3 linked regions of the Styela clava genome follow. The protein of the gene in region 3 binds, or shares a complex with, the protein of the main gene of each other region. Links are inferred from orthologs where the notes say so. Each region holds a gene or a part of one and is shown on either strand. Other genes may lie near its edges. The genes, in order: integrin beta-1-B-like, paxillin-like and fermitin family homolog 2-like.

Region 1 (7,059 bases), on a different chromosome or scaffold from region 3:
AGGAGATCCTGTTGGAAAAATTGCATTTTTGGTGAAAAATTTCGAACAGTTAAGGGTTTTTCTTCCAGAAGGTACCAGAATATAAAACACAATTTATATACATTTGCTTTCACTAATAGTGCCTGCTAGTCCGTTAATGATATCTAAACTTCAGTTCATGATTCAGTTTGAATGTCCAAAATGTCAGGAGAATTGAAAATCATCTAATGTTTATATATTAGTGGTGCAATGCCTTGTATTACATTTTAATAAAGTTATTCTGTAACATTTCATCTTATCAAAGTCAGACTTTCGAAGACGCGCAGTTTACGGCAAAACAATGTAACAAAATATTGAATGAGACTTGAATGAGAGGTGGAAATATATGAAGGCATACATAAAAATATTTGGCCATAAAAATTCTGTAGTAAACTATTGAGATATGTTTGTATGGGATATATAATCACCATACAAATAACTTTCATAAATACATGAGTATAATAATATATTGTAGCTTTGCAGGCAACATTTGATAAATAATATAGTGGTAACTGTGAATTTTATGGTCATAATGATACAAAAATTCATTATATGCATGCATCAGCTAGACTCTGCAAGGAAAATAACAACTTGTATCGCAGAGCTTTGGAACATATAAACTCGTAAAAATGCTGAAAAAATTGAAGAATTGTCAAAATAACTACCTGGCCTCAATTTGGCATCAATCTTTTGTGGTTTGAGTTGTGTTGCCTTCCCAACATCTGAGCTTCCAACTGATGAATGTGGGTCATCAACTTTAATGTAAAATGAAAATATGTTGAGAAAAATATTTACAAAAACAAGGCAAACAAAGACATCTGCACGTCCTCCCAGAACAAAAAAGCTATCATGACGTAGCAATAATCTTTTTTATTCGAATACTCTTCTTTATACATGCTTCATCGCTTGGCACTCTGACATAACTCGCATTTAGGTGGTGTCTCACATATTAAAATTCTATAACCTTTTCAGCAAGGTTGGCTACATCAAAAAATACATCTCGATACTAAAATATTCTTTTCAACCATCGAAGAATATTGAATCTATTCTAAATTGGGCCATCCTCAACAAAGAACATATAGAGGTCATGTATATTCAATTAGTTTTTTTTGGAAAAGCATGGAATTTAATTAAGATAAAATTTGATAATTTGTGTTGTTGCACCTGTAATTTGATCGATAAGCTTTTTTTGAGAGTTTACAAAAAACAAATGAAGGTCTTTTAGGCCATGATGACCAAATCACTGGGGAGCAGAATAATGAATTTCGAACATACTCGACCAATTTTGTACATCCGCGGCCTTGAAGCTTCGAAAATGATCCACAAACTAAATCGCTTATAAAAAGAATGACAGAATAATCTAAGTGTGGTTTTACTAGATTTAATATAATAAATAACCCACCTGTATTGTTCACAGACGATGGTGGATTCAATATGAATTCATCAGGACATTTTCCAGCCTTTAAATTTTTTGGTAAATCGCATCTCGATATAACAAGATTGGGGTTGTTTGCATATTCCTGGAATATAACAAAAAATAAATAGAAAATCCAAAGAATCGTTATAAGTTTAAATCAGGGGTTCCCAAACCGCGGCCCGGGGGCCAAAACCGGCCCGCTTAACGATCAAAAAAGGCCCGCCGAGCTCAAGTGAAATAGTGTGCAAAAGATTTTGTTTCTGCTATTTTGCGTTCCAGATAGCGCCAAGTGTTACACCATTATCACAGTTGAGGCACCTGATTATCGTAACAATTACATTATAGCGGTAGCTCAATTATTCGTATTGGGATTACATAGGGCAGTAATTTAGTTACGAACCATATAAGAAAGAGATGTCAAGACACAAAGGAAAACTAGACTCCGAAAACAGACATTTTTGGATACATAACAGCCGTGGTGAACCCCAGCTAAACCGTCGCGCACTTCTGGGCGCCACACTCTTCCGGCCCGCGAACATCCCTCCGATTCTAACTTTGGCCCGCGACTAATAAAGTTTGGGAACCCCTGGTTTAAATCTATGCTTTATGTGTAGGATAGGTCACAAACTAATATATCAGACTAGCACTAGCATACCATTACCAAACTGAAAACTGGTAATTAAATGAACAGGTTGGGGTTTTCCATATGATATGATCATATTATGAGCTATGTTCTACCATATTTCATTCTCAACGTTTTATGATATTGTTTACAAACATTTTAGTTCCATCAATACAATACTGAGTCACATTAGATAATCCAGGAAGTAATTTCCATTTCAAGTACTTCTGTAGGCTACTTCCTGAATTGAACTGTTCTTTTTTATTCAATATCTACGAGACAATTTCGATGAAAGATGAAATTGGAAATTAGGTAACATTATCATCAAAGTTATTGTTTGACTCAAAATCTACATACTTATTGAATGGAAGTTTTTTAATTGTTATTATTCAAGACTTACAGGTTGTTCACACCATCCACATCCAGCAACTTGCATGCACTCACTGCATGATTTTGCATTCTTATCTACACATGGGTTGTCACCTTGAAATATAGAAGAACTGTATTATTTTTAAATGAATGTACTGAATGAATGTAATTAAAACTCAGATATGCAAAATAAAAGTCATACTATTTTAAATACTATTTGGATAAAAAATAATGTAAAGTGAGAAATGCAAATATCATTAACAAGCATCTGAGTCAAAAATAAAGTCCAGTTTCCCTAAACAAATATATTTAGATGTCTGTTTATTGATTGTGGTCATTAATACTATAAATATCTTGATTGACAGAATGATAAAATATATAGTAAGCATTCATATGACCTCCACTCACATAACAACTGTATAAACTAGGCGCTAAAACAGTAATATGCTAATTTAAACACTTACCATTTCCATACTCAAATAATAAAACAAGCAGAAGACAAAAAGAAAAGAGAAGACGCATCTTCGCTAGTAATGAATTTTTATGATTTTCTATTTATAAAATAATATAAAAAAACACAGTATGTAGAAATCTGTCAAAATTTGAATATAGAATGAAATTATATGCAAAATCTAAACTCAAAATAAAAAACAGTATGTATAAATATAAAAAATGTTAACGTTAACCATTATGTTCACCACATTACAGAATTCAAACATCAATATGATCAAAACAGACTGCTTGCTTAAATAGTTAAACTAAAATCTGAAGATGTGGGTGCTTTTTTAGACTACCAGACTACTTTGGACACCAAAGTCAAAAATGACTTTCACAAGAGTTCTTAACTTAGTAACTACAGATCTTAGAAACTGATTAATATAATCATTAACATCTAGGCTAAAACAGTTATTTTACAGTCTTTCCCCGAAAATAAGACAGTTTATTATTTCAATTTTCTTTCGAAAAATAACACTAGGGCTTACTTTGGGGGAATGTCTCCTATTTTCATTTAGAGAATTACTAAATTTTCAAATATACAAAATATGAAAAACGATATCCATTTACAAATAAATAACAAGTTTTTATTTAAAATAACTGCTAAACATAGATTATTAATCCTTTAAAACGAGTATGAAAGATTTCTTGCTGGTTAAAAATAATTTTGCTTTATTGACTATTAAAATCATTTTAAAAATTCATGCTAACTAGGTCTTATTTCCAGGGTACCGTAAGTATTATTTTCGGGGAAACACGGTAGCTCCAACCTAAAAATATCAGAAATCTGCATTCCAATGTCTGAATGTATGAGATACCGTTACGACAAACAGACAAGCTGACATTGACTTTGCTTTTCGGCTATTGAAACAAGGGTTCTTTTCAGTTATTGAACCCTTCGCTTCACCATAACTTGTACTTAGTATCAGCCGACTCTGAATCGACAAACGCAAAGGAGAAAATCAACAAAACATATACTGACTGACTGGTGAATTACAAGCAGACATTACTCACTTTTTCCAACCACAGTCGATACCAAATACAGATAAACCTCGCCCAGGGAAAGTATTTTCTCCCAAAACCATAATCCCGAAAATTTTGAGTATCTAACGCCACTTTGCGGTTCGGTACCATCTGTCAGCTATTTTATTTTCGGGGGTATCTGATTTCGATCTCAAATATGTATACAGTATATAGATTTCCTTAGGTTTTGTGCTTGTTTTGTTTTTGGTAGGTGAACGTGTGTGATATTTATGTTTTATTCACTTTTCAGATTTTGCACGACTGCTGTCGCACAATTTAAGTTATTTCTCTTTTGATATTTGTAATGTTTATGCTTATAGTGTGTTGATAAATAAATGATGATTGATTGATTTTTTATAACATTCTACGTTTTATCGCATAAATAATATTACACTTGAAAAAATGAATTTAAATAAGTTCTTTAAATAAGTTCCCAATTGATAACATTTTTATCATAAATAATATTTGAGTATTTTATGGATGTAGTATTTTTTATTCCACTCTTCAATATATATATAACATGTTTCTTAACATTACACAGCGCCTCTAGCAGGTGGTTTACATTGATGGTTATTTTAGATTTAAAAATATGCCAATAGTAAGGAGTACTTCCCAAACATCTTAATTTGTCACCGAGTCCTATACTTTTTTGTTTCTTTATGCTGGGAGTCACACAGCTACACTCAAGGCTAGATTAACCATTAATCGAAATAGGCACGTGCTAAGGGCATCAAAGGAAAGGGGTCTTCGAAATACAATCTTTAATCACTGAAAATTTCAAAGCAATTGGTCCAATAGTTGATGAGAAAAGCGGGTTTTCCATAAAAACAATAAGAAAAATACCAACAAGAACAACAACATAATAACCAAATGGTTCATATATATATTTATGTACATTTCGTGTCCAATAAATATGGTTGCTTATAGTGGAGTGGAACGCAGTAGTAAACGGACACCGGGTTGCGCAAGAGTTCGTTACCGGGATATATTTATATTGTCTTGACAAAAAAATGATGATTGATAAATAAACACTTCAATTTGGGAGGACTGGAACTTTCCATTGTCATTGCCTACGATGAGCGATAGGATTCTAACCCGAGATGTGTAACTTGCGAATTGCGATGCCATCAAAGCTGGTAAGTCTAGCGCAGTGGTTCCCGAACTTTTTGAAAAAAATTCCATGACTGACCCCTTGAATTTTTTTTAATGATATCCGGCCTTGTGCGCTAAAATAAAACATTAAAAGATCACAACAGAAAATCAATGCGCCGTATAGTGAAACGAATAAAATTATATAAAGCACAACTCCAATGACATGTGTGACATCCAGTCCAGCAAAAGGGCGGCGTCAGCTACAGCCATGCAGTCAGTAAGCTTGTGGGGGCATGAACCGAACTCTCGCTGTGATATCAAAATGGGGCAGCGTGATCGAAACAAAAGGTGAGGAATCAGTGTCTCCAGCGGTGATTGCAAAACAGCAAAAGGCGACAAATGTGTATTTGCAAATTTAGACACTTAATTTTTGTATTATCAGCCTATTAGCCATATTATGGATTTGTTTCGCGGACCCTCCGAAAGTGCTTTACGGACCCCAGTTTGGGAACCACTGGTCTAGCGCAATAAAACCACCACCACCTATCGGTTAGAAGATTTAAAATTATTTTGCAATAAAAAAATAAATAAACAAAATTACTTCTGTTAGATGATTTGATTTAATGGTGGACAACCACCGGGAAGGCATTTCCATCCCGCCCTCCTTCTTTATGGATTGCTGGTAATTATTTCATTATATTCACAGTCAACCGTTTTACGTAATTAACATATAGCATGGAACATTCGTGTACCTAAATCTGACAGTATATACCGACTGACTTGTTTTAGCAATATTGAAGTTACGGTGAAATGCAATTTAAATATTTAACGACTGACGCTTTTTAACAGTATTGAAGTTTTGATGAAATGCTACTTGAAACATTTAGGAACTGACGCTTTTTAACATTATTGAAGTTACGGTGAAATGCACTTCTGTAAAACGCAAACAAATAATTATTTACTGAAACCGTTCAACGCCCTGAAAAAAACTACTTTTTCGAAAACGTTTTTGGTGGACCAAATTTGAAATGTTGGTCTTCAAACGAGAAATAGTGATGCGCATCACCGAATCTTAATCAGTTAACCCTTTTTAAGCCTCAAGCCCTGCCCATTTTATGGGTATTTTTAAACTTATTTTTTTATGTCAACCATTAATCCCTAAAGCTTTATTCATGGGTTTTTAAAAGCGTCTGCTAGAGTTCTATTCAGCAATATATCTTTAAAACACACCCCTCGAAAAAAATTTTTGCAAAAAAATTTCAAAAATTTCTAAAAAAAAAATTGGACTTTGAGATATTCTGTGTACAGTAGAGGGTTAATAATTAATTCCTAATTAATTAATTTTTTCTTCAACGTTTTCGTCAAGTTTTTCCTAACATAACAATACCAAAACGACTATTATAGCATAAATGGTTATCACTCTGAAATTCACAATTGTATTTACAGTATTGTCAAGTTCAAGGTCAAATTACCGATACTGATGACGTCACAGCTCTTATTATTACTGCACAGACCACCCCCAATGCAAAAAAATTAAATTTTTTCGACGGAAATGCGCGTAGAACGGCGTAACCAATCTCATACGCGCATTTACGCGTTAAAATTACCATTAATTTTACGTTTTTTTTACATACAAAAAATCTCCATACCTCTGCCAACTATGGAGCATTCGAAATCATATTTATCAAAACAACACAGCGCCAGGGATGGTCAGGGATAGTTAGTATGACTGAAAATACATGCTAAAACAATAATAAGTCGTTATAAAGGAGTATTTCCTGTCTGAAGGGAGTCACATTTTTCAGACGTCTGACAGGTGATTTTGAAATCCAGGATATTTATAGGATTCGCACTTTGCGTCACGGCTGGAAGGTTTTATCGCTTCTCTCATTACGTCGATAAACAGCTAAGAGCGATATACTCTATAAGTACATAAATTTTACAATTTTTTTAAAAGTACACCCATATGGGCGTTCCGGCTGTAGAAGGGTTAACAGAGTCTGCAGCTAAGCTTTGCTTTTTT
Region 2 (7,664 bases), on a different chromosome or scaffold from region 3:
CAAAGAAGCACGGATATCATCAGACCATTAATTACGGTTTGACTAATTTCTTTCGACACAGAGCAATTATCGGGTAAAGCTTATGCTGACCTTCTTGTCTCATGTCAAACATTGATGTACGAAAATATCTTAAAAAATGTATCTAAATTAATATTATAATATATATAAGTTTGGACAATGGCGTTCTGTTTTCGTCAAAATTAGATTACTCCCCGATGACTAATTAATTGGAATGCAGAACCATTTCATTGTAGAATCACTAAATTTACTCATTTGTGAAATGTGATGTTCTGCAGATTTTCACACCAACGGAAGCTCTCAAAATTCATTATTCTACAATAACAAGATATTTTTCGTGAAACGTAGCTAACATTGGAAAATGCATTATTAGTTTCCTGACATTAATTTCCTTCGTGGCAAGAAACTTCATCAGCGGTTATTTTTTTTAAAGAAACTGCCCAGAAAAATGGGTCAAAATTTCGAAAATTCGCGTTCGTGAGACACATGGAATTCGACTCATTTTCTAGTTTCGATCCATAGTATAATTTTAATAGAATTCCCCGGATAACTAGCGGGTGATTAATTTTTGACATGATCGATTTCCCTTTTACTTCACCGTGCCTAGCGTTCATCTCCACCGTGTGTTTGTCTCTTAAATTTTGGTTACGGCAATTGTACTCAGGTACTTGGGCTACTTTGTGCTATTTTGTACGCCACACCGCCGAACCCCCTGTTACTAATATAACACTCTCTGAGTGGCATTCCCTTTCAAACTATTTTGAAACCATGAAAAGTACCGAGTCATAGAGCGAGCTGTAATCAGATAAATTCATTGCAATATCGTTATTCAATTCCTCCTCTTCAAATGATTTCCATCTATTATAGGCCTCCAGAATTACAGATACATTATATGATTGTATGATAGTTTATTATATCATGGTTTTCATACTTAGTTACATTCTTTATGGATACCGAATTATCAGGAGGGTGAGTCACATGTCAAAGTCATCATCATATCGATCTTCAATTCTTTCTCTCTTAAATTATTTTCATATATATATATATATAAATATATATAAATGTTATCATCTTTTAATTACTTAAACTATTTTCATATATATATAAATGTTATCATCTTTTACTTACTTTATTGGCCGTAATTTTCAACAACGTTTTTGTCCAGGACTTTAATCATGCCCGATCCTTACATTACGCACTGTGATATTCGTCAAGAAGACAGTTCCACCAATTCCGCGAGAAATAATGTACCGTTTCAAGACTATTGTCGGAGAGATCGTCAAAGCCAACTGTATCCTTGTACTGAAAATATCACATAACTGGTACTGTATCAATAGGCGTAGTCAGTGCGGGGGCCTGTGGGGCCATACCACCGCCACTCCCCAAAAAATCAACAATTTTGTTCAAACAGAATTTCGCGGCATTTGCAGTGAGATATAAATTCATAGCCCTCCTTTCCAACGCCATTTTGCTCTATTCCTAAACGATTTACTGAAACCGGACATTTCCTGGTTTGATAACAATAATCCTTTCACCAAATGAACCAAACACCAAGATAGATAAATATGCGCGCCTATATGTATTTGACAGCAAAGTACGTCAGTAGAGCAATTCTCGAAACGATCCTTACACATTCAGACGACACATTATTGTCACTTATAAAACTTTCAATTTCCCTGTGATCTTATCCCTTATATTTTATCGTGTGTAAGCACAAAAGAAGATTCAGAATATATTGAAAGTGTAAATTAATATACTAAATAATAATATATTTGGTATGGAATTCTTATTTTTTGCTCTTCTCTATTTAAAATTTATTTAAATAACTTCCTAGTCCCGATTAGATATTTATCTCATATCTAATCAGATATCATTTTTTTACATAGTGTATGTATATATTTTTTCCATATGTATATCTTGAGAGTGTAATATTACGGGATCTACATATTTATCCCGAGGGAGAGGAAAGCCGATAAGACGTCTTAATCATATGGCGAACCACGGCCTCTCGTCCGGTTACCAGGTCGGTATGGGATTAGTTAGCCAGTTATTTGTTTTCGGAAGCATGGACTTGTGTTATTAATTTATTTATTCATGTGCTTGCTTTAGCTGGTAACCGACTCAGATGACTGTTAATGGTCGTATCGTCACCACCAAGTCATCTACCGAAACCTAATTTTTCTCATTTTGCTATCATATATAACAGTGGCGGCGCGTGGTCATTTTGACAACCAGGGCAAGCTACTGCGGGACCAAGTCACCCCCATCTACGGGGACAAGATGAGCGCTGTAAGTTCGCCCATCATTTTATGAGTATAAAAACCATTCCATCGGTAACAACCAATCGGCAAAAGCGACAATTTTTAACGATAAGAAAGTGTCTTTAAAACCGGTCAAAGTCAAGGGATTAAAAAATATAGACATAGTTTATTTTGAAACCTCTTTCAAAAGGAAAGGCAATGTTTACCCAGATAAATACAATGACATATTAACAGAAACTTCGCGAAAGCAGACAAAACCTAAAATAAGGTTCAAAACGTTACTATGAAGAAAGGAAAGTTAATGCAAAGATAAGGACATGCGTCGCTCACTCATAGATATATATGCTGCTAGACTTCTACTGCTTGAACATATATGCAACACGCCGCGGTTTCTTGGAAGCAAAATGCTCAATAACGCGCTGATTAAAGTCATGCAGAAATAACGTCTCTGTGAATGGATAAAACAGCCAAGGAATTTAATCTATCTTGCTTCATTGTGTTTCTGAGATACGTTTTAATATGCTTCAGCGTGCTGAATGTTCGCTCTGCGTCGGCGGAAGAAATAGGCGTCGTCAAAATGATGTCCAAAAATTTTGCAGACGCCGCAAAGGTAGTTACTAGAGTGTTATCTATGAGGAACCCATAGAGCGCGCAAGTTGATGTGATGTTCAAAAAAGTTTGATTGGTGTATATACATCGCAATTCATTTTCCAATTTACCCACGTTTATCATGGGGTAAAATTTGGAGACAGTAGCCAACAAATGGATGGGAAATTGACGTGCAAATTTTGAAAAATTTTTGGGGTTCATCAAAGAGAACGCGGCAAGGTGTTCAGTGCGCAGACGATCGCCTATTTGATTCACCAGAATGTCACAGCATTCCTTTGCAGACAAAATCAAACGCTGCGTTGTTTGCCCGCGGCGTAAAGAAGCACTCCATGTGTCGTCGTATTTTATTGTTTCCCGGATACGAGATACAGCATCGCAGAAGTCTGAAATACACGACTGCACAGACGCTCCATCCATTAGCCTTTACTGCAATGCGCCGTATAATACATCCACGTGATAGAATATTGTGGAGAAAAAAGCGAGAAAAAATGAAAACTCACCATCTTCTAGCAGAAGCTTTACCCCTGCCGCCTCAATGCGTGAATATGTCAACACGTTGTTGTAAGAAACGTCGGCATTGTGTCGTCATAATTTCGGGGCTAGCCCCGATCGGCCCCGATGATTTAGTAAAAGAAACAGAAAACAAACGAGACAAACGCGGCGAGTGGAAGATAAGAGAGAATAATGAGCAACCGGGGCAAAATCGGCGTCGCCCCGTCGACGTTCGGCGAAGGCTTTGCGAGCGAAAAATGAACCATGTCGGGAGAATATGGCTAGTGTAGACTGTAGACAGTCTGTGCAACCAATATTGAGGTATTTTTCGAATATTTTTTATTATACCGAAAAAACAACCGGGGCATTGCCCCGGTTGGCCATATTGACGCGCCGCCACTGATATATATATATATTGTATGTGTTTTCTGGTTTGAAGAAACAATAAATTCTCTCTCTCTCTCCTAGGTACATTTCGATTCATCCGGGATCGTGATTTGTGTCATCACGTGGAGACGCTATAGAGCATATTGCAAAATTGTGTCTACTCTAGTAGTCGATGACAGCGGTGAATGTCAAATTCTTTATTACTAAGAGTTCGTATTTTCGGTTCTACGGCAAGTTTACATAATTACATTAATTGTGATAACAGGAAAGGTAGATAGTTTTGAACTAATTTGAAATCATGTATTTCGATAACCAAAAATATCATATTCATGAATCCAAATTGGCAATGGATTTTAATTTGGCCACCCCCCCAAAAAAAGTAGATAGATAAGTTGTTGTGTTTCACTTTTTTGTATAACTGCATCTGCATATCTATGTTTTATATTACTGTATGAATTAAAGAAAAGCGTACATACTGTACTGAAATATGAATGTAGGGTAACTTGACCGTTAGTTCTAATGCTACCATAAATTAATTCATATTTTTATATCTGACACAATTCTGAATGTTTTTCAATTATCAAATTATGAAATTGAAGTGCTACTCGATCGATTCTCACAAACTACAATTTTTTTAGGATATGTAACCTTATTAGTCAGTCCAGCATATACGGTAGTTACTGCATTGTCATACAGTCATAATATGAACTATCCGTGTCCTGTTCCTGAGCTATTCCTGTACCGGTACTGCGGAACTCATTCTTTTAACACAGTGACGTATTGACGGTACCAGTTCGCTAACGCTGTTCGTTTATCTAATAGTTTGTGTCCTATTTTCAGAATTTGAAAGCCATAGTCTGAGAGTGCTCACATAAACACAGTAACAACTTATTTCAGTACGGTATTTTATCATCAAGCAACATTCGAATATAGCGACAGATGAAAACGGGAACAGAAAATCTGTTTGAATCGTCTGCTTTCCTGTTTTTGGGGTAACAGCACTGCAATAACTTTGACTAGAGGAGCTGAGGATTGATTTGAACTAGCTCTTTGAATAAGTTTTTTGTTATTCAAAAATCTGTTTCACATTTGTGAAAAATTATACCATTTAAAAGTTGGGAGATGGAGGATTTAGGTAAGTGAAATTCATACATTCAATTTGCACTGGTCATACTTTTTGTCTTCTGCAATCTATGCTCGTGAGGACATAACAACTGAACAAGGGTGCACTGTTACATATTACACTGCTGTAGTCTGACAATGTATTACACTTTCTATTTATTATTTTTATATATATTTTGTGTGAGTGGTATACTCGGATAATTCTGTAGCAATTTGAATATTTATTCCTTTTATTTATTTATTAGTTTTACATTCACAGTAGTTAAAAAAACTAAAGTTGAGATTTATCAAGTTCGACCATAGCAAAGGTAAAAAACTAACATTTTTAATACTGCTCGAAACACAAAGACCATATGTCACAAAGTTAATATTATCAAACATACTTGGATTAAGTTGAGTAAACATTACCGCTATCATAATTATTAATTGCTTTCGGTATGTGGGTTATTACTTGTCAAATTATTAATTTATCAAAAAGGAAGTTATCAATTTTGTAGCTTCCTGCTTCTCTTGGTCAAGTAAACAGATTGAAAGGGACTTTTTGGTATGTCCTAGCACAGGGGTGCGGACCTATTTTAATGAATGGCTCAAAAATAGATTTTTATTATGCAACAGAAGACTGCGGTCATATATACTTAATCAATGTCTGTGTCAATCAGCTTTTGCATCTTTGACACAAGTCTTAAAAATCCTTGGTTGGTATTGTGTAGTTTTGAGCTTTACGAGTGTAGCACTTATATTAGAATTGAGGCGATTTTATGCAATTCGTGTTCGAAAGCACCAGTATGAATTACCAGAAAATGTTTTAGTTGTTAGTTCAAGTCTATAAGGCATAGTTTCCTAAACGTCATTGTGTACTAATAAAGAATAGACTGCATAGTGGCGTCTGCTCTTGTTGCCCACCCATACTCTTATATATATGTTTAAATGAAGATAACAAGATAATTAATTAGGTGGTTAATTAGGTACCAGTAACTTATAATTTAGATTTGTATTTATTCCTAAAACTTGTTTTGAATAGTTAACCTCATGTGTTTTGAAACTGATTCATTATGTACCGAGTACTGCAGAGAAAGTTGAGTCTTGATTCGAATATCATTTTCAATTATTATTGTCAACTTATTATATTCAAAGAGTCTTGTTGTTTTGAACAATATTTCACAAAAATTATATTCTCTTCTTGTCTGCTATCACTTGTGTGTGAGAAATAAGCAGTGATCAAACTGATTGCTTTTATAAACTATGAAGGAAAGTTTGACCTGTTTGACGGTGAACCTGTCAAGTCAATAATTATTGTAAAAAACATACTGAAATGCAAGTGATGAACATTTATAATAAAACTGGCCTTCATTCAATCTAACAATAAGTGAACTACTATAAATGTAGTTTACCTACAGTGGTGCAGCCAGGGCTGCGATTATAGGATGGAACCCACATCTCGGTATTAACCAGTCCCAAATTTGGAACTTTGTAACGACGAGCTACGTGTTACGCTCATTTACGAATGATAACAATATCATGCACATTGAACACTAAAAATAAAACAGAAGAGGATCATAAATTTTGTTTTAGGAGTTTTGAGAAAGTGAAAAAAGTTGTTTTAAGCACGCTAGTTTAGATACTATAAATCGCAAAGATTTTATGTACTGCACAGGAAATAAGAAACACTTACACCACGTGCAATGTGCATTTTCATATATTGTCGGTTTCATATTACCCTATTAAAATTACCACCACCAATTTATTCCAGAATAATCCAGATCCTGACAAAATGGGAACTATTTATTGGAAGATTTATTCAATCACTTTTCTATTTTACTTAAATGAATTGTATTCCTTGATTAAGATTCTAGTTGAGGTAAAAAGCTTTATTATTTAACGTAGTCGTTGTTTAGGTTGAATGCAAATGTTATAGAATTTCATTTTATGGGTTATTCCTTATTTACGGCTGTGGATCATATATTTTCCAAAGCAAAAAGGATCAATATCAGCTGAAAACGTTACCTTTTTTTACTATTGTTGTAATTGCTGTGATTGTCTCAAAATTCGCTGCAAGGGAATTACCACAACTTGGTATTGTTATTTTTAAAACCCCCATTTCGAATGGCCAGTCTGCACCCCTGTGTACTGTTTTTTTGGGAGACTACCCCCATTATCAATAATAAATACTAAACTCTCAATTCTCTCAATGGATAGATAGTATTAGATACTTCCTATTTTCATCCTTCCCTTATAGTCTTTTGAATACCCCTTTTTCTAACGTAAATTACTAGTATTGTCCAATTCATAAACTAGTGAATGAAAAATAAATAAAATGAAAAATCTTTTTTAAAAAGGGAATCTAAATATGAATTCCACTTATTTACGTAGTTGGCCCAAGTTTTTTTGAAATTATCCATAATTCTGAATATGAATACGAGTCTCGACCCACTACATATCATCTCCTGTTATTCGGAAGGACCTATTAATTACCAACAAAAATTTGTTATTGATTGATAATTGATATGAAATTTGATATTTCTCTAATTAACTAAGATCCTGTCGCGGACCCGGCAAAATACATGTAGGCTATATATAGCCTATAGTTACATTTTTAATAAAACCAGGGCAATCGAAAGTTCACATCTTTGGTTAAAACCGCTGTGTCTACCCATGCGACAGCCAAGTTATTTTGCAAAACAATATTGATATGACCGCAATATAACTCAGAACGTATGGGATTATTTTGTTTTTGCAAATGTTTTGTCCCTATTTTGAATTGACGCGAATTTGAAT
Region 3 (7,570 bases):
TGTCAAAAAAGTTCATTGATTACAATTCACAGGTTGAAAGTGAGGTTGTAGTCTCAGACTCTCTGAAAACAAAATTTCTCAATCTAACGACAATTATAGTACGGTAATTGAAATTTTTGAAAATAACCCCAAAAATATTAAGTTGAATGAGCGTTCCTGTCAAACTGTCAAAAAAAGCTTGCGCTTGCCCAAAAGTTTTATTACCGAAATTTTCCCGGAAAATAGACCAACTTTTTTTTTCAATTTGGGTCAAGATAGGGAGAACTTTCTCCAGATTGAACATCCATAGGCACAATAGTGGTTGCATGTCCAAAGCCTTAGAGCAGTGGCTCCCAACCTTCTAATATCTTGGCCCCCTTTCGCAGGCTTTTAGCACTTATGGCCCCCTGTTAATCATTCCAGTGCTATTTTGATGGGCAGATTCCAATTTCCATTATGTTAAAAAAAAATTATGCACAACAAAGAAAAAAAACCTTGTGAAATAATTTCATCAAGAAATTAAACTAGGAAGAACTGGGAGGATTTTTTGAAAGGGTAAAGTATAATCAGTTCTGTGCTTAACCTTGTGGCCCCCTCCAACTGCTCTGTGGCCCTCGAAGGGCCATGGGCATCGGGTTAGAAACCACTAACTTAGAATAAAGAACGCAAATGAACTGACCTGGGGTGTAAGGAGATGTCGGAGTCATGCTTGGATTGAGAACGTTTGGAGCGATGAGTCCTTCATCGTAAGAACTTCCGTTTGCGTGAGATCTCTGTGGAGAATTTTTGTGGCCGTCTCTTTTCTCTTGGACGCGAAGTAAAGATAATTCCTCAGGTCGACGAATATCTGAAGCAAATTAGCAGGGATATGACAAATGAACCTAATATACTGTTCAGATCAGTTTTATTAATATAACCAATGTCTATTGTCTACATAAGATAACAATAAAATCAGGTAGAGTTCCCCACCATGGGACAGCAAGTAAATGATAGGGCATGTATGCATAACAAAGTAACAGATCGTAGTTTATCAACCTTATTAACAATTTTTCAACCGATGATAACAATAATTAATCTTACTATGCTCCCTAGCCAGCAGTGGCTGCTCTTAAACAGCCTTTTTAAGTGAGAAAAAATAAGATGTCGTGTAAAAGACGTTAGTTTGAAAAATTGGTCATTAGCTATAAAGTAAAAGATGGTAAATATCAAATTATCCACATATCACCCTGTGGGCAGGTTTCTCAGAGACAGTCAAAGTCCAACTCACCAAAAAATCTACAAATTTCTTTCACCGCTGTGAAAACTTTTGATGAAAAATCAACTCTAATATTTGCGTATTGCAGATCGCATAGTTGGATTCGAAGTGTCTGTAAACAAAGGCAATGTGAGAGTTTTCATATTCAGGGAAAGGGGAAGGAGGGGAAAGCTTAATCATGTGACCATCCATTGTCTATGGTCCGGTTACCAGTCCATGTCGAATATGGGGATAGTTAACCATATCGTGTATACCACAGCCTCTGGTTCACTTACCAGTCCATACCGGGTATGAGAATACATCACTCTGGCAGAAAAAATAAGCTTCGATAAAACAAATCGAGGAATTCACCTCAAACATTGGCGAAAAGAAAACGGGATGGCGGAGATTTGAATTTTTGCTGAATAATACTAGTAATACTGAAGGGAATACAAAGCAAAAATTCTCAATGGTTGGGAAACCTTGCTGTAATGACTAACCTTATGTCTCATAGTGAACCATAATTCAGCATCAGCCTGAACTTCTTCTCTCACCAAGGCATGATTGCTGTTCATCAGCCATTTATTTTTCTTTGGCCACCACATCTCATAACCTGACCAATCCTGAGTCACATCTTAAAAAAAGTCAATTATATTTATTGAGTTTTTACGCAAAAGCAAAGTCTGCGCCCTGCGCTCAGCATCAACTTTTATGTGTGTTGCCAGTTGTTTGATTATAATAAAATTGTAGGCTCGTTAAATTAATAGCCGTTAACAATAAATTATGTTGTGTGAAGAATATAATATACTCCTTGAGCGTAGATTAAAATTAATTAATCCTCGAAACCGCCATTTTGTCGCTACAATTCAATGGAGCTTAGTGGGTCGGATTATTTCACAACTCGGGCTAAATCTGGCCGTGGGTTGATGACCCTGTTCTAAGAGTTGGAACTAGGATGCAATATAGGCCATAATCCCGTGGAAGGAGTAATAAGTTAAAGTTAGGCAATGTGAAACTGGAGTCACACCCAATTATGGTAATGGTAGCAGTCTGCTTCTGCAGAGCCTTGTTCAGAGCAAAAAACATATTGACATGTCATATAAAAAGCAGTAAAAGGATCTATTTTTAATTGTACATCAACTCACCAAATTTTAATTTCAAAGCTTCCACTAATCTAGAGATTGCGAATCCCACAGAATCCTCACTGCGTACAAGAACTGGTACAAGATGTTCTGAAACTGTTTCACCCTGAAAACAAAACCAGACGAAATCAGCACATGTGAAAGAAAAAATAGATGGGTACCATGCAGTACTAGTCCATAATGCGCTACAGCCAAAGGTACTTTTACATTCTGAGATAGTTATCTAAATCTTCTCACACCTCCCAGATTTTGCTATTTGCTATCAAAAAGCATTTCAGCATAATTTCACAAAGCAGTTTGAAAAACAAGGACTACAGATTCATCTTCATGATTTTTTGAATTATTAATTTCCACGCCTCTCAAATAAATCAGGTCGTAATAAGTTGGTGATGCAAAGCTGTATACTCCAGCCCAAACTTTATTAGCTCATGTTAGTGGACGCTTCAACAGGGCCTTGTTCAGAAAGAGAATGTAATGTCTCTAATAATACTGTCATGCTTGATTGCCTACCCGATCATTTTTAATTGGCAAGTCCGTTACTCTAATATTCAACTCCCAGGATCCGTCAGCGTACGTCCCATCAGCAGTTCGGAAACCACTAGCCATTGTGATTCAATAATCCGTGTGACAGAAAACACTTATAAGAAATTCATGATAGTGAAAAATTACGTTACATATATAACACTGTGAATGAATAACAATTGAAGTATTGATTGATAAGATTGTAATTAGGAAAGCATCACTGATACGCTTTACTTAGAAATATAGGCTATGCAACACTTTTTGTTTGTCACCCTAAGCATCGTTCAGTTGTACTAGGACAGGGGTGGGCAACCCCTGGCACGCGTTCTGAACTTATCATGCGAGCCCCTTTATTCGGCACGTGAGCGAGGCTTCAGAAACGAAATCCATTTTCTTCAGATAAAAAGTTTCAAGACTCTGAATTATCTGTTGAAACTCTGCGTCGGTTTAATCATTATCGTTTGTTAACAATCCGTTATTTATTTAAATAATTTTTTTCCATTCATGACATATGGCTCCAAAGAAATATATTAAGACATCACAACTGAGTGAGCTCTCGACAATTTTGGTCGGCACGCAGAAGAATTTTGTCATTAAATTTAGTCGATTTTGGCACGCGAGCCGGAAAAGGTTGCCCACCCCTGTACTAGGATGTATTAATGCCTTGCTAACCCCATGTCTGATAAACTTAAATTTGAATAAACTACTGACTAACTACTCAATGATTTCCACTAGTAGCAGAGTTAAGATTGTACTAACAAACACAAAAATGAACTATTCGAACACACTATTTCTTGTAAATCAGTGATTCTCAAACATTTTAAAATTTGTCAAATTTCACGTCATCTCAAAAATAACTAGATAAAAATAAGCTACCAATAACAGATAGTGCGGCGAATGTGTGTTTTATTCAAAAAAACACATTAAATATCGAAAATAAGTCCGGCAAAATCAAATCTGACAAAATATCATATTTTTAATTAGCTTCACGATCCCGCCCCTTCGAAAAATTGTCTAAGCACCACTGTTTGAGAACCACTGTCCTAAATGGTAAGTTATTCTACTTTCGATTACTGAAGTATATTATGCACTTTCAGAATTACTAGTGTAGCGTCCTAATATTCACATGATTTTGTCACAATAAAATAGATTCATCTATTTGCATCATAGCTGTTTTCCTGTTCGTATCGATATGAACTGCTTCAAATATCATTTTAACAATTCTATAATTCCTCATAACTAGGTTTATCATATATATAAAACCAAATATGGAGTGAGGATTGGACAAACCCTTGGTTCGATTCCTAGGAATACTAACATTCAAATCATAAGAAAATGTGCACTTTTTTTTCAAAAAATTATGTTTTATTAATATCAGATATGAAAAAATATTCATGATTGTGCGTAACCGGGACATTTAAGTCTACCGGACAGATGCCAGGAGCTTGTCAAAATCGGGACTTTCTCGGCCTAACTGGGACAATATGTATGGTAGGCCTACTCATGGTCTCTGTGGCTTTTGTATTTTAATAGGCTCCGTAACTTGCTCAAAGATCAATCAACATGATTTCGGGAAGAGTGCGAAAGAACTCATTTCTATTCATATTATATAGCAATAAAACTTCTAAATTTAGAATTTCAGGTAAAAGCAGAGTTTTCAGTAACTCGCGAAGTGAAATTTTCCCAAACACAGTTAATTTTGAATTTCAAACTCATTTCTCAAGATTTGCCCTGTGAATAAAACATGACCTCGAGCATTGTCAGTTTGATTCATAAAAGTTTCATCGAAGAGAAACTTGATTCGTTCAAGTTGAATTATTCATGGACAAAAATATTGAATTCCAATATCAATCTAAAACGCAATTCTATAATGTTTTTTATAACAGAAGTTTTTGCGTTTGAAAAGTTTTTTTGCCCTCAGCATCAATCGAATAGAATGAAATTCATAAACCAAGAATGAAAGACAAGGAATGAATTTTATTCACTGAAAAAGACAATGAGTCAGTGTTAGTTGTTCAATGGGGCAGAACCAAAAAAATTTGACAACTATGACCAGTGTTGCAAATGTGATGAAGATGAAACATCTTCCACAAATGTAAGTGCTTTCAGACATCAATAAGATTTTCAAAACAAAATCTTAACTTTGGAAAATGCTCATAAGTTTACAAAATGAATTTTTAAAATATATTCTACTGTCACCGACACAACTTGCCAACACATCAAGCAAGCAATGTGGTATTATCCCTCCCACATCCAGTTAAAAATCTATTTGAATACGTCATCTTTCTTTACAGACTCATGTTTAGCCTGGTTGCAAAAAACACCCAGCATGAATTATAATGTTATTATATCAGACATAGCTAACCTAGGCTAATAGAATCTGCACAATATATTTAGTTGTCAATGATGCTAAAAGTGTAAGCATAGATTCGGGACCAAATACTGAAATAAAAAGGAAGCCAGGTAACAATGTCAGAAATTTAGACTGCCAAGCACATCATTCAACTTCGTTAATTGCCAGAGCTAGCCATAACAATAGTCAATTCAGTTTGTGTTGTGTATTTTACTAGTTTTATTTGTCTAGTCTATTGTCCTATTACAGTATTATAACGCAGCAGTCCTAAACTGCTGTTACACTTGTTAGGATTACATGTCGCACATCTGTGTCCTACAGTTTTGGCCGGTAAGGTCTTGAAAATGCATCCTGTCTCCAGGTCTCTGTTTTACTGTTTAATTATTATGCAGATAGATACTGTTACATTTTTGAGATTATAGGCTAGACATTCAGTACCGGTAGGTTTTATTATAACAACCAATCAATTGTATAGTTATAAACTGTAACACACAGACTACGGTACTCAAGTCAAGGTAAACTTCAAATGACATCTCAACAAACAAGAAATTGTTCACAAAACTAAACCCAGAAACCATCATTACTGCATTATGCTGTTATGCAAAGGCCAGTCAAACCTGCCATCTTGATATTTGACAAACATTTATCACCGAAGCCTAACCTTAGATTGTCAATAAACCCCTAACACCACTGTTCTGTAAATAAAGACTCAATTCTCAACAAAACGTTTATTTGACATGAAAACGTTTCTCACAAGCGGCTTTTCAAACACATTCTTTCAACATTCGTGTCAAATTAGCCGAGCAAAAGGAAAGGCTAAATCGACAATGACCATATTTGGGCACTATATGACGCACCCTCTGACGTCAATATTACAGGCCGCCTTTTCTCAATATTTGGTCTCACGACGCCTCCTGTGGAATGTTCTGGTAGGACGTAATAGAAACCTCGACTTACCGTATTTAACGCACCATAATAATCTGACTATAAGGCGCATCGTCGATAAATCGCATAGATTGGCGTTTTGTCTATACACAAGGCGCACCAGGTCATAAAACGCAGCAATTTTCATTGTATGGGTTTCCGTATAAAGCTCATGGACCTTTCCCCGAGCATCGACTTCCTTGTTTACTTCGTGACATTGGCCAATCAACAAGATGCAAAAAGTGACGTAACAATGCTTCCTTTTCGCATCCGCTCAGACTCCGCTCCATATACTCAAAAATACATATCCATGTTAAATTTGACCAATACCACACTTGATCAAGTGTGCAACATGTCTGAAATTCTATTTAACTTTAAACGCCTATTGTGTATACGCAAATATTTTAGTAATTTTTCTTTCTTTCCATGGAAATTTAATGTTGTTTTTGGACACACCTAAACATATCTGAAGCATTTTTTATTCATGTTTATTGATTTTAATGTTGGGTGGTAACAGACTCCGATGACCGCATGGTCGTATCGTTGCCACCCAGTCTACACCGAGAATTGTTTCGCTTATTATTAATCATGTTTTTGTTGTGTATATGTTTTCTGGTGGACAAAACAAATAAACTCTCTCTCTCTCAATGATCACTCTGTCTTCCTAGGAGTTTTAATTTAATTGCAGTACTAATAAATTAGTGTAGAAATAGCTGTGATAGACTAGGCTAAAATTCTTTACCGGTACTTTTAAAAATCAGATTGTTTTATGCGATGAGTCATAATCCGTAATCTGTATCGCGTAATATCAATATGAGCAAAGCCCATCCATGGAATTAAAGAAGTTAATGGATAAAAGATTGGATTCAAAGTTAAATGGTGGACGATCAGTTGCGGGTATATTGCGAGCTTTCGATCTTTTTATGAATCTAGACGTGGATGATGGAACAGAGCGTAGAAAAGATGGGACGATTGCACGTTCACCTGTTGGAATGGCTGAATGGTGGTCGTTCGTGGAAATTCGATATTGATGTTGGAAGCATTGGAACGGATACAATGATTTTAAATTGAACTAACCGAAAACGACAAAAGAACCCAACACCGTAATCCATGATTTGTGCATAGACTGCGATGGAACATTCAAAATTTGTCACTGTGTTACTTTTGCAACGTAATTGAACTAGGCCTACAGCATCACCATTTTTCGGCAGCGAGTGTTCTTTAATCCATATATCTGTAGGAAAAGCACATACACGTCTCATATTTTAATTTATAGGATTTTGCCCGATGTCACATCGTGTTTTTGTTTTATTGTGTTTTGACTGTTTTTTGGGGACGGGCACGTACTTGTACGTATTAAACTTTATTATTAAGTTATGCCCGTCCTCCGGGTCCTCTGTATTTTGTTTGCCCTGT

The links.
Region 1: the proteins of fermitin family homolog 2-like (region 3) and integrin beta-1-B-like are in contact, whole or in part, in a crystal structure (PDB 8TEE), measured with the Mus musculus proteins. The link is inferred for Styela clava from reciprocal best matches to the Homo sapiens genes FERMT2 and ITGB1. Residues at the interface, in NP_666166.2 of Mus musculus: Phe609, Ser610, Asn611, Met612, Lys613, Gln614, Trp615, Asn616, Val617, Asn618, Trp619, Glu620, Ala629, Asp630, His647, Ile654, Ser657, Thr658, Lys674, Leu675, Ser677, Gly678; in NP_034708.1 of Mus musculus: Ala786, Val787, Thr788, Thr789, Val790, Val791, Asn792, Pro793, Tyr795, Glu796, Gly797.
Region 2: the proteins of fermitin family homolog 2-like (region 3) and paxillin-like are in contact, whole or in part, in an NMR structure (PDB 6U4N), measured with the Homo sapiens proteins. The link is inferred for Styela clava from reciprocal best matches to the Homo sapiens genes FERMT2 and PXN. Residues at the interface, in NP_006823.1 of Homo sapiens: Gly42, Gly43, Met45, Leu46, Glu50, Lys55, Lys56, Trp58, Ser59, Leu73, Thr75; in NP_001074324.1 of Homo sapiens: Ala562, Phe563, Cys564, Leu565, Gln576, Lys579, Tyr581, Lys588, Leu589, Phe590.

The regions. Positions count from the first base shown.
Region 1 is NC_135261.1:8,767,924-8,774,982, reverse strand, and holds the start of integrin beta-1-B-like, read right to left. Parts: upstream 3,040-7,059; 5' UTR 2,949-3,039; coding exon 2,891-2,948; intron 2,541-2,890; coding exon 2,458-2,540; intron 1,539-2,457; coding exon 1,421-1,538; intron 774-1,420; coding exon 684-773; intron 9-683; coding exon 1-8.
Region 2 is NC_135252.1:7,085,506-7,093,169, reverse strand, and holds the start of paxillin-like, read left to right. Parts: upstream 1-4,607; 5' UTR 4,608-4,889; coding exon 4,890-4,902; intron 4,903-7,664. UniProt on the Homo sapiens protein: Cytoskeletal protein involved in actin-membrane attachment at sites of cell adhesion to the extracellular matrix (focal adhesion). Recruits other proteins such as TRIM15 to focal adhesion.
Region 3 is NC_135255.1:24,188,684-24,196,253, reverse strand, and holds the start of fermitin family homolog 2-like, read right to left. Parts: upstream 3,036-7,570; 5' UTR 2,962-3,035; coding exon 2,866-2,961; intron 2,462-2,865; coding exon 2,359-2,461; intron 1,848-2,358; coding exon 1,714-1,847; intron 1,347-1,713; coding exon 1,247-1,346; intron 827-1,246; coding exon 659-826; intron 1-658. UniProt on the Homo sapiens protein: Scaffolding protein that enhances integrin activation mediated by TLN1 and/or TLN2, but activates integrins only weakly by itself. Binds to membranes enriched in phosphoinositides.